3 linked regions of the Oryctolagus cuniculus genome follow. The protein of the gene in region 3 interacts with the protein of the main gene of each other region in a pairwise test. Links are inferred from orthologs where the notes say so. Each region holds a gene or a part of one and is shown on either strand. Other genes may lie near its edges.

Evidence for each region.
Region 1: the proteins of IMMT (region 3) and PDE4DIP interact in a two-hybrid assay, tested with the Homo sapiens proteins (2 studies listed by BioGRID and IntAct, with this or other methods). The link is inferred for Oryctolagus cuniculus from reciprocal best matches to the Homo sapiens genes IMMT and PDE4DIP.
Region 2: the proteins of IMMT (region 3) and PFDN1 interact in a two-hybrid assay, tested with the Homo sapiens proteins (2 studies listed by BioGRID and IntAct). The link is inferred for Oryctolagus cuniculus from reciprocal best matches to the Homo sapiens genes IMMT and PFDN1.

Annotation. Positions count from the first base shown.
Region 1 is NC_091438.1:50,661,571-50,665,221, reverse strand, and holds part of PDE4DIP (myomegalin), read right to left. Parts: intron 3,316-3,651; coding exon 3,196-3,315; intron 2,793-3,195; coding exon 2,267-2,792; intron 1-2,266. UniProt on the Homo sapiens protein: Functions as an anchor sequestering components of the cAMP-dependent pathway to Golgi and/or centrosomes.
Region 2 is NC_091437.1:27,957,942-27,961,592, forward strand, and holds part of PFDN1 (prefoldin subunit 1), read right to left. Parts: intron 1,501-3,651; coding exon 1,334-1,500; intron 1-1,333. UniProt on the Homo sapiens protein: Binds specifically to cytosolic chaperonin (c-CPN) and transfers target proteins to it. Binds to nascent polypeptide chain and promotes folding in an environment in which there are many competing pathways for nonnative proteins.
Region 3 is NC_091433.1:116,590,275-116,593,925, forward strand, and holds part of IMMT (MICOS complex subunit MIC60), read left to right. Parts: intron 1-2,668; coding exon 2,669-2,772; intron 2,773-3,651. UniProt on the Homo sapiens protein: Component of the MICOS complex, a large protein complex of the mitochondrial inner membrane that plays crucial roles in the maintenance of crista junctions, inner membrane architecture, and formation of contact sites to the outer membrane.

The sequences.
Region 1 (3,651 bases), on a different chromosome or scaffold from region 3:
GCTGTGGCCCGGGAAGGCAGTGGAGGATGGGCCAAGTGCTTGGGCCCTGCACCCGCGTGGGAGACCAGGAGGAAGCACCTGGCTCTTGGCTTCGGATCGGCTCAGCGCTGGCCTTAGCAGCCATTTGGGGAGTGAACCAACAGAAGGAAAACCTTTCTCTCTGTCTCTCTCACTGTCTAACTCTATCTGTCAAATTATATATATATATATATATATATGTATACATATATATCCATTCCTTCTCTCAGGAAAAATAGTACATATGTGTATATACATAATACTTACATATGAAGTGAACATGGCAAAAAGTTAAAAATTATTCAGTCTCTGAGTGCTCATTGAATTCATCTTTATATTTTCCTATATTTGAAATATTTTTAAATCAAACATTTTTTAAAGAAAAAAGGGAAAGAGTGAGTGGTAAGTTATGGAGATTTTGTAGAGGTTTCTGTGAGAATATCTCTAAGAAACTCTTCCAGCTAAAGTCATCGGAAGTATTTAAGAGTAAATTCTGGGGCTGGCACTGTGGCATAGCAGGTAAACTCTCGCCTTCAGCACCAGCATCCCATATAGGCGCTGGTTCGAGTCCCGGCTGCTCCACTGCTGATCGAGCTCCCTGTTAATGCACCTGGGACAGCAGTAGAAGATGGCCCAAGTCCTTGGGCCCCTGCACCCACATCGGAGACCTGGAAGTAGCTCCTGGCTCCTGCTTCAGAAAGGCTCAGCTCCGGCTGTTATGGCCATTTGGAGAGTGAGTCAGCAGATGAAGCTTGCTCTCTCTCTCTCTCTCTCTCTCTCTCTCTCCCCCTGTGTGTGTGTGTGTGTGTGTGTGTGTAACTCTGCCTTTCAAATAAATAGACAAATCTAAAAAAAAAAAAAAAAAAAAAAAAACCAGGCTCAGGCTTAAAAAACAAAAAAGAGTAAATTCTGCTCTGGAAAACTACAATAGCAAAGGAAAAACAGCTACTGCTCCTGTCCTTCAACTGTTTTTATGAGCTAGTCAAATGTCCAAATATATGTCAGTCCAATGTCCAAAACCAAATCATAAGTTCGGTGAGGTAAAGACAATGCCATATTTAACATCCTGTCCAGTACCAGTACAGTGTAGACACGCAGCAGATCCCCAGTAAACACTTAGAAACACTTCACCCTAAATACACATGGGACCTGCCACGTCTTCTACTCTACACACCCTGCGATGTCTGGATTTCTTGTATACTATGATACTGCGTCCATTACACAGCTCCCACCCCACGTCTTCTGCAATACAGCTTTCTTTCCTTCAGCAGCTAGAGGGTATTCATCCCCTTACATCTGAGCAGTCCCTGTGACCACTTACACCAAGATAATAGAGAGAAAGTAACACGGAGTCAAGTCCAGGAGTGGTTCTTAACCGGCCTGGCAACTTGTACTTCCTGCCTTAGAAGCCACTGCCCCATGGAAATGAAAGTACCTGAGACCCCCCGCGCTAGGAGAAGCTGAAGTCAGGCAGAGAGGCCCTGGAAGACAGGAGCTTCATGGAGAAAGAGAGGGGCCAAGGAGCACAGAGTCAGCACACAGGTGCCTAAAGGAGCGGTGACCACCCGGTCAGGCCTTTCAGCTGGCTCCAGCCCTGGCTACCACCTAACAGCAGCCCCATGCAGGACCCCATGAGCCAAGTCAACCCGCAGAGATGACGGCTCATCATCCAGAGTCATCAAGTTTTCAGGAGGCTTTTTCTTAGCAATGGATGACCAGGACATGCCAAGATGAATGTTTACCCAGTGTTTTTCAATGCAAAGCATCAATACCAATGATAACGATGGCAAATAGGGTTGGAGAGATTAAGATATGTTAGGCACTATTCTAAGCACTTGTATTAATTCTTTTAAACCTAATAACCACCCCCCCTCTGAGGTGTATTCTTTTATTATCTTCATTTAATAGGTAAGGAAATGGGCTGAGGCAGGATGGGTGGGTTGCATAGGTAGTAAATGGCAGAGCCGGGATTTGAACCCAGGTTCTCCAACTTGGCTCTTCCTACTGTGCTGTATTACCCACACTGTCACTTTTCTACTAAATGCCTGCAGGGACATTCCAGAGACCTGGCAGCTCCCAGCCTGCTGTTCGTCTATCTGTCCTTTCCAGAGACCTACGTCTACCACGGCAGCAAGTGCCCGCATGACTGCCTATATATGTTCTCTCTTTTACCTGCCTGGGCTTCTCTACTCCCAGCACAAACTTAGACGTCGTCAATCGAGGACGGGCCCGACACTGCCCTCCTTACCCAGGCCACGAAGCTGATCTCAGTTCCTCGGCCAGTTTCCCTTCCAGTCCGGTTTTCGGCAGCTGGGCCTCCAGCTGGGAGACTCTCTGGATAAGGCACTCCAGATCCTTTTTGGCCTGAAGCCCTGGCGGGTAGAAGGCCCCGGTGCCATCCGACAGCCAGCCCTCATCCTCATCAGTGACACTACGAGGAGAGCACCCCTCAAGGGTGCCGACAGCCCTCAGCTTCCGGGGTCTCTCCAGACTCGATGAGTAATCGCTCGTGACCGATAGGGACCGGACCCGGCTCTTGAGGTTTTGGATGACCTTGTTGGCATTCTGCAGCTGGGCTTTCAGATCCCTGATGTCCTTTTGCAGGGCCGAGATGTCTTCTGATTTCCCGTATGCCTGGAACTCTTGTTTCCTGAGTTGGCTCTCCGAGGGCTTCTTCCCGGGGGTGCTGGCCAGGGCCGGGCCCAGGCATCCCTGCCCGGAGCACAGCCCCTCCCTGAGGGCCATTCCCTTGAGACTGTCATGCTCCTCACACTCTGGAAAAGGACAAAGACATCTTCCTGAACAGAAGCTCCATGTTCTGCAGTGACCCCTCCCTGTGAGGGGAGGCGGGTTTGGCTATGAGGACAATAGTCACTCGAGCAAAAGCTGAGGCAGAACCTTATTCAGCCGGGTTATTCTGAACCTCCCGACAGCCCTGCAAGTTAGGAACGGTCACTTTCTAGGTTACTCACTGTGTAAACCCGCACTCAGAGAAAGGTAAACGAACGTATTCCAGATCACTCCAGCTAGCACATGGCGGAGCCTGAATTCAAATCCTCCCATGTCCTGTGTCTCCCTCAGTCACAACACCCTCTTCCCCTTCTACTTCTCAGGAGGGGTATTAGCCAGGAGCACCCAAATGTGAGGGAAGGTGGACCCCACACCCTGCACTCTTACCAGGACTTGTGGTCTCCTCCCGCTCAGCCTCGTTCTCGCTCCGCCCACAGGTCTCATAGCCCAGGTCCTGGAGGTCCACCTGGACTTGCTTGCTGTCTTGCTTCACCAGGGACTCACCTGCTTGGGAGAGACTAATGAGTGTTTCAGAATATAAATGCACTCCCTCAACCTCAGTGCCTTTAGGGGTTGGGAGATCAAATCCAGAGTGGGGTAGATGCTTTGTTTGGACTCAGGTGAGAGCAGAGAACACCTACTTCATGCAGCATAAGTTGGCCTCCCTTTCCAATAACATCGGTTCAGTTACATCTGTAAGTCGGGTGTTGCATGTATGATCCCTGAAGCCCCCGTGGAGCCAGCAAGTGCTTTATGTCCAGGGACTCAGTAATCACTTGAACAGAGCTTTACTAATTTAGAGTCCTAAGGCATCCAGACCTGCATTGTCCAATAAGACAGTCA
Region 2 (3,651 bases), on a different chromosome or scaffold from region 3:
TCCCGGTTGCCCCTCTTTCAGGCCAGCTCTCTGCTGTGGCCAGGGAGTGCAGTGGAGGATGGCCCAGGTCCTTGGGCCCTGCACCCCATGGGAGACCAGGATAAGTACCTGGCTCCTGCCATTGGATCAGCACAGTGCGCCGGCCGCAGCGCGCCGCCGTGGCGGCCACTGGAGGGTGAACCAACGGCAAAGGAAGACCTTTCTCTGTCTCTCTCACTGTCCACTCTGCCTGTCAAAAAAAATAATAATAAAAAACCTATACATTCTGAGACCACCGCCTGCAATACCCCTGTTAGTTTGAATCCAGCCGCTCCACTTCTGATTCAGCTCTCTGCTATGGCCTGGGAAAGCAGTAGAGGATGGCCCAAGTCCTTGGGTCCCTGCACCCTCCTGGGAGACCCAGAGAAATCTCTTGGCTCCTGGCTCCCGGTTCCTGGCTTCAAATCAGCTCAGCTCTGGCTGTTGTGGCCATTTGGGGAGTGAACCAGCAGATGAGAGACCTCTCTCTCTCTCTGCTTCTGCCTCTCTGTAACGCCACCTTTCAAATAAATATATAAATCTCTGGGGGGAAAAAAACACTACACCTACTGAGACAGGAGTTTAGCCAGCAGTTACCAATTAAGACACCCAAAGGCCTGGGTTCACTGTCTGGCTCTAGCTCTTAACTCTAGTTTCCTGCAAATGCAGACCTTGGGAGGCAGTAGTGATGGGTGTCTGAAACTAACCACGTGGACAACCTGTCTGAGTTCCTGGCCTCCACCTTCACTCATGTCCAGCCCAGTCTGTTGCAGGCATTTGGGAGTTGAACTAACAGATGAAGGTTCTCTTTCTCTGCTTCTCAAATAAGTGAAACAAAAAAATAAAAATAAAAAGGAAGGGGGGTGCATTATGTTGTGGCACCCCTACAGGAGTGCTCCACCTTAGTGCTAACATGCTCCAGCTATTGCAGCCATGTGGAGAATCAAAAAACAGATGGAAGAGCTGTCTCTTCCTCTCTTGTCCCCCTACCTTACAAATCAATCAATAAATAAAATCTTTAAAAAACAAATAAAATTATTCCTACTTAAATAAATCTTTACAAACAAAATTAGTATGGACATAACTGTAGAGAGAACACGGATTTAAGATACATAATTTCAATGTTTAAAATTAAACACTCATACCTTTCTAAGGTTCATTACCTCATTTTTTAAAAAAAGAAGGCATTTGACTAAATAACCACTAACGCTATTTCTATACACTTTGGCCCAAATTTCAAAATAAACAAATTCAATGATTCAGTTCAGACAACCGTTCTCCCATAACAACCCCTGTAAAGATATATTTTACTTACATTCTTCCTACGCCTTCATACATGTTAGTCTCATCTACCAAAGTCATAATTTCTGTATCTGTAAGATGTGCATGTTTTTTCGTTCTGTTCAGTTGCTCAATCTGTATGTCTGCAAGCTTCACTTTCTGTTGAGTGTCAATAACTTTGGCTTGAAGCTCTGTGAAGGCCTAATAAAAATAGGTCCTTGATTTAGTAGGTAAAACATTTTACAGCAAACATGTAAGCCAAACCCAAATACATTAAAACAAAACCTGTTTTCAATTCACAAAGCTGTGAAATTTACCAAAGCAAATATCAGTAAGCTTACACTATAATTATAAATGATCAAGTCACTATGCTAAATACTGAATTTACCTGTCCTTAGAAGATGCAATCAACCTGAAGCAAAAATAAATGCACATTAAAAAATAACCATACCAAGTATCAACTACTCCAGGAGTTTCAGATGATGAAACCCAAGGATTCAAAGAAAAAAACACAGGGGCCAGTTTTGTGGCACAACAGGGCTAAGCCATCACTTGCAAATCAGGCATTCCATCTCTGAATGCCTGTTGGTTCAAGTCCCAACTGCTGCACTCCCAGACCAGCTTCCCATTAACACGCCTGGGAAAGCAGTGCAGGATGGCTCCATGCGTGGAGCCCTGCCATCCCTGTGGGAGATCCAGATGGAGTTCCTGGTTCCTTGCTTCAACTTGGTCCAGCCCTGGCTGTTGCAGGCATTTGAGTGAAGCAGCAGATGGATGGAGGATTGATCCTGATACTTCTGCCTGCGCCTCTGCCTCTGCCTCTGCCTCCGCCTCCATCATCTCCATCTCCCATCTCTCCCTCTCCCCACTCCTACCCTCTCCCCATCTCTGCTTTTCAAAGAAACAAACCTTAAGAAAAAAAACATAAAAGTAACAACTCATTCCATCTGTACTACACAACTAGGTTTCAAAGCATTTTCCCACATTAGTCTGAAATGTTAATATAAGAAAATTAATGAAACTATTAAAGAGGGATATAACACTTAACTCATTTATTCTTCCAAATAACCTTGAGTTAGGGACAAGTTTCACCATCCACAATTTATAAATTAAGTAACTAAATCAATTGAGATAAAAGTGGCTTACATAGGGTTGAACGACATAAGATTCAAAAGGAAGGTATTAGAATCATTTTCTTCTGACCCCTTAGTTCAGAAATCTTTCACTTTTATTATCTACAGAAACATTCAGAACATGAATATTTTTAAGAAAATTTGTGCCAGCCCCGTGGCATAGCAGGTAAAGCCACCACCTGCAGTACCAGCATCCCATATGGGCATCAACTTGAATCCCAGCTGCTCCACTTCTGATCCAGCACTCTGCTATGGCCTGGGAGAGCAGTGGAAGATGACCCAAGTCTCTGGGCATCAACACCCACATGAGAGACCTGAGGGAAACTCCAGACTCCTGGCTTTGGATCCCACCAGCTCCGGCTGTTGCAGCCATTCAGGGAGTGAACCAGCAGATGGAAGATCTCTCTCATCCACTATGGACACCAGCTCAAATCCCACTGCACCACTTGCAATCCAGCTCTGTGCTATGGACCAGGAAAGCAATGGAAGGTGGCCCAAGTGCCTGGGCCCCTATACCCAGTGGGAGACCTGTAAGAAGCTGCTGGCTCCAGATTGGCACAGCTCCGGATGCTGCAGCTATTTAGGGAGTGAATTAGCGGACAAAAGATCCCTCTCTCTGCCTCTGCATCTCTGTAATTCTGCCTTTCAAATAAATAAATCTTTAAAAAAGGGGGGCCAGTGATTAAAGCCACCGGCTGCAGTGCCGGCATCCCTTAAGGGCACCAGTTCGATCCCAGCTGCTCCAATTCCAATCCAGCTCTGTACTATGGCCTGGGAAAGCCGATGGCCCAAGTCCTGGACCCCTGCATCCACACAAGAGACTCGGAGGAAGCTCCTGGCTTCGGATCTGCACAGTTCTGGCCGTTGCAGCCATCTGGGGAGTGAACCATTGGACATTAGACGCCTCTCTCTCTGCCTCTCTGTAACTCTTTCAAATAAATAAAATAAATCTTAAAAAAAAAAAAAAAAAAAAAAACCAGAATGTAGGTCTGTAGATTCCTCTCTCTCTGCCTCTCTGAAACTTTGCCTTTCAAATAAATAAATCCTTTAAAAAAAAATAGGGGTACAAAAAAGAGAGAAAATGCAAAACACTGGCAGAAGTCTTGCATCATGATCTTCATCCACACACACCAAGCCAAATTTGATCCTTGAGTACACTTAACTCAAACATAAACCCAGTTCTTGGATATTCTTGCTGAAGTGCCTTGGAATGACTTTC
Region 3 (3,651 bases):
TGTAAATGAATTCTATATATAAATGCTTTATCTCACCACGCTGATGTATTTTACAAGAATTCAGATTTGTCTTTGTACCTTAATAATGTTTGAATGTAATTGTTGCTTCCTTATTTTTTGCCCTAAAATCTAAAGCCATTTCTTTACATAGAAAACTTTGTATTTTGAGATACTTCTAGATTGACATAAGAAGTAATAGAGAAGCTATGTACTCCAAAACACTAGCTATTTGAGTGCTTATGCTTATTAACTTACATTGAGTGCTTCAAAGAATAAAATAATATTCACTTCTAAGCATAATACTGGGGATCAATACATTTCTTTACATTAAATTCAGTAGTTCAGGATATGTATCTCTATACAAAGTAATTTAAAGAGTAAAACAGGGGCCCGTGTTGTGGCAAACAGGTTACGCTGCCACCAGTAATGCTGGCATTGCATTTGGCCTACAGGTACTGGTTTGAGTCCTGGCTGCTCCACTTCTTCTTCTTCTTCTTCTTCTTTTTTTTTTTTTTTTTTTTTTTTTTAATAAGATTTATTTATTTATTTGAAGACAGAGTTACAGAGAGGCAGAGAGAGAGAGAGGTCTTCCATCTGCTGGCTCACTACCTAGATGGCCGCAATGGCTGGAACTGTGCTGATACAAAACCAGGAGCCAGAAGCTTCCTTCGGGTCTCCCATGCAGTTGCAGGGCCCCAAGCACTTGGGCCATCTTCCACTGCTTTCCCAGACCATAGCAGAGAGCTGGATCAGAAGTGGAACAGGGGGGTCTCGAACATATGGGATGCTGGCACTGCCAGCGACAACTTCAGCTACTATGCCATAGCGCTGGCCCCTGCTCTACTTCTGATCCAGCTCCCAACTGATGCACCTGGGGAACAGTGGAAGCAGACCCAAGTGCTTGGGCCCCTACACCCACATGGAAGACCTGGAAGAAGCTCTGGACTCCTGGCATTGGCCTGGTACAGTGGCACACTACTATAGAATTCAACCTAAAGACATTCTTTACATCCCATATCACTTTGTATTCTGGAAGAAACCAGCGTTCTTCATCTCCTCAAAACTTTTCATGGAATCAGCATTTCTGTAGAAATCTGCATGTGCCTTCTTTCCTGGTTCCACCACAGCAGACTTGCACAGAGCTGCAGTGCTCGAGGAGATGTGCAGCAACTCCTGTGGTCGTCCTGTTGGGGTGATTTCAAACTCGGGTATTGAAACAATTCAGTTATTTTTTTCTAAGTCAATTATTCTTTGGTGATTTAGTATATACCTGTTCATCTCCAGGGTCCATAAGGTAATTTTGCTTCATACCCACATGTAATATATCCAGTTTATATGCACTTGGAAAAAGAAAAAGGAGACGAAAGATAATTTTCAATAGTTCATTTAAAATAATTTTAAATAGTTTAGACAATTCCCAATATTCTGATCAATGTTTATATGGTGCAAAATGAGGAGAGGACAAGGTGTTGTGACTTGTCTGCCATCTCATCCTGGAGTAGCCAGGACTTAAACCGGTGCCCATATGGGATGCTGGCACTGCAGTTGACAGCTTTACCTGCTACGCCACAGTGCCAGCCCCAAGTAAGTGCTCTTTTTAAACATGTATGCTTTGTACTTGTCCTTAAACTGAAGTTTTGGTAGCCAGACCTGCAATTCAGAAAATTTTAGGCAGCAACACTACATCAGAGAATGACTTAATCAACAGGTGATTCACTTAAAGCTATTATTTTTTTAAAGATTTATTTATTTAGTTGAACAGCAGAGATATAGAAAGGCAGAGAGAGAGAGAGGTGTCTTCCATCCCCTGGTTCACTCCCCAGATAGCTGCAGCAGCCAGAGCTGTGTGGATCCAAAGCCAGGATCCAGGAGCTTCTTCTGGATCTCCTACGTAGGTGCAAGGGCCCAAGTCTTCTACTGCTTTCCCAGGCCATAGCAGAGAGCTGGATTGAAGTTGGACAAGCGGAGATTCGAACCGGTGCCCATTTGGGATGCTGGCATGCTGTAGGGGGTGGCTTTACCCACTACGCCATAGTGCCAGCCCCCTCTATTATTATAAACCTTGTCTGGTTGATATTTTCTTTTGAGAATCTAATAAAACTCCTTGGAAAATAGTTGACTGGAACACTAATTTTTTTATTTGAGAGGCAGAGTTAGAGAGAAGGAGACATAGAGAAAGAGAGAGATCTTTCATCTGCTGGTGCACCCCTCCAAATGGTCAACTGGCCCAGGCTGAAACCGGGAGTGTCCTCTTAGTCTTCCACGTGGGTGGCGGGGACCCCAGGACTCCAGCCATCTTCCTCTGCTTTCCCAGGCACATTAGCGGGAAGCTGATTGGAAGTGGAGCGGCCAGGAACCAAACCAGTGCCCATATTGAATATGGCGTCGCAGACAGCAACTTAACCCACTACACCAGAGCCCCTTCCTCCTAACCTCCCTCCCCCTTTTTTTTCTTATTTAGGATTTTGTGGAAGGACAGTTGATGGGAAGTGATTCATGAACATCTTTGTGCCTGTGACTGCTAGATTGAGTTCCTATTCTGGAGAGATACTATCTAAGTTTTCTCTTTTGAATTTAATGTCTTGTATTTTGTGCTTAATCTTGTTGGCCTATCTGATGACAGTATTAGCAGTTGTTCACGTTTACTTAATTCGCATTTTGTGTTTAGATTGCAGGTGAGAAGAAGTCTGCCCAGTGGCGTACAGTGGAGGGAGCATTGAAGGAACGCAGAAAGGCAGTAGATGAAGCTGCTGATGCCCTTCTCAAAGCCAAGTAATTACTCATGGACTTTAACAAGTAATTAGGGCCTCTGGTGGCTCTCTGGGCTGGGTTTTCCTTGGATTATCTGGGGAAGATACTGTAAGAGGAGGCAGAGACCCTTTCCTCCTGCACCTGTGCTGCTTCTGAACTGGTACCAGGAAACAGGAAAACAATGAGGTGAAAATAAATTTGACAGAAACTTACATAAATGATCTTATATAAACGTCAGTTTTGCTTTGGATTATTGTTGAGGTGGTGAGATTCCTGAGAGTTTCATAATTTCTGTTTTGCTGGGCTGGTTTAAACAGTTCTGTCAGAATTTGGAAAATATGTCATGATCTCTTTGCCCTAATTACCTAAGAATTGACTATATATTGTCTTTTGCCACTTTAACCTTGATTCCTAGAAGTTAACTGAAACTAGGATCAAGTGAAAAACCCAAGTATAAGACCAACCTCTGATGATGGAGGGCTGCATTTGGACTAAAGGTTCTCATCAACAGTGTGTAGTAGTTATTTTTTATTTAAAATTTTGCTGTTTTATTTATTTTTGATAGAGCCTTCTAATGAAGCACACGCCTTTTAGATTATGCCCACATCACTAGACAGTGTATCAGGGCTCTGAGTTCTGTGTTTTGTGGTGGCTGGGCCACAGTCTGACCTTTGAAGCATTCTAAATTGTCATTCTAAATTGACGTATTTGCTCAGTGAGGTAGGTCTCTGGCCATCTCCCTGGCCTTTGCGTTCCTTCAGTTCTTTGTGATTGACAGGGACATCAGCCTAATCCCTGCCAGTCATTAAGTGTTCACTGTGTGCCATGCACTGTGCCAGGTTTTTCTCATGAATTACTTCTAACCCTGCACAAGGGCGTGCAGCAAGTGCAAGCGTGAAC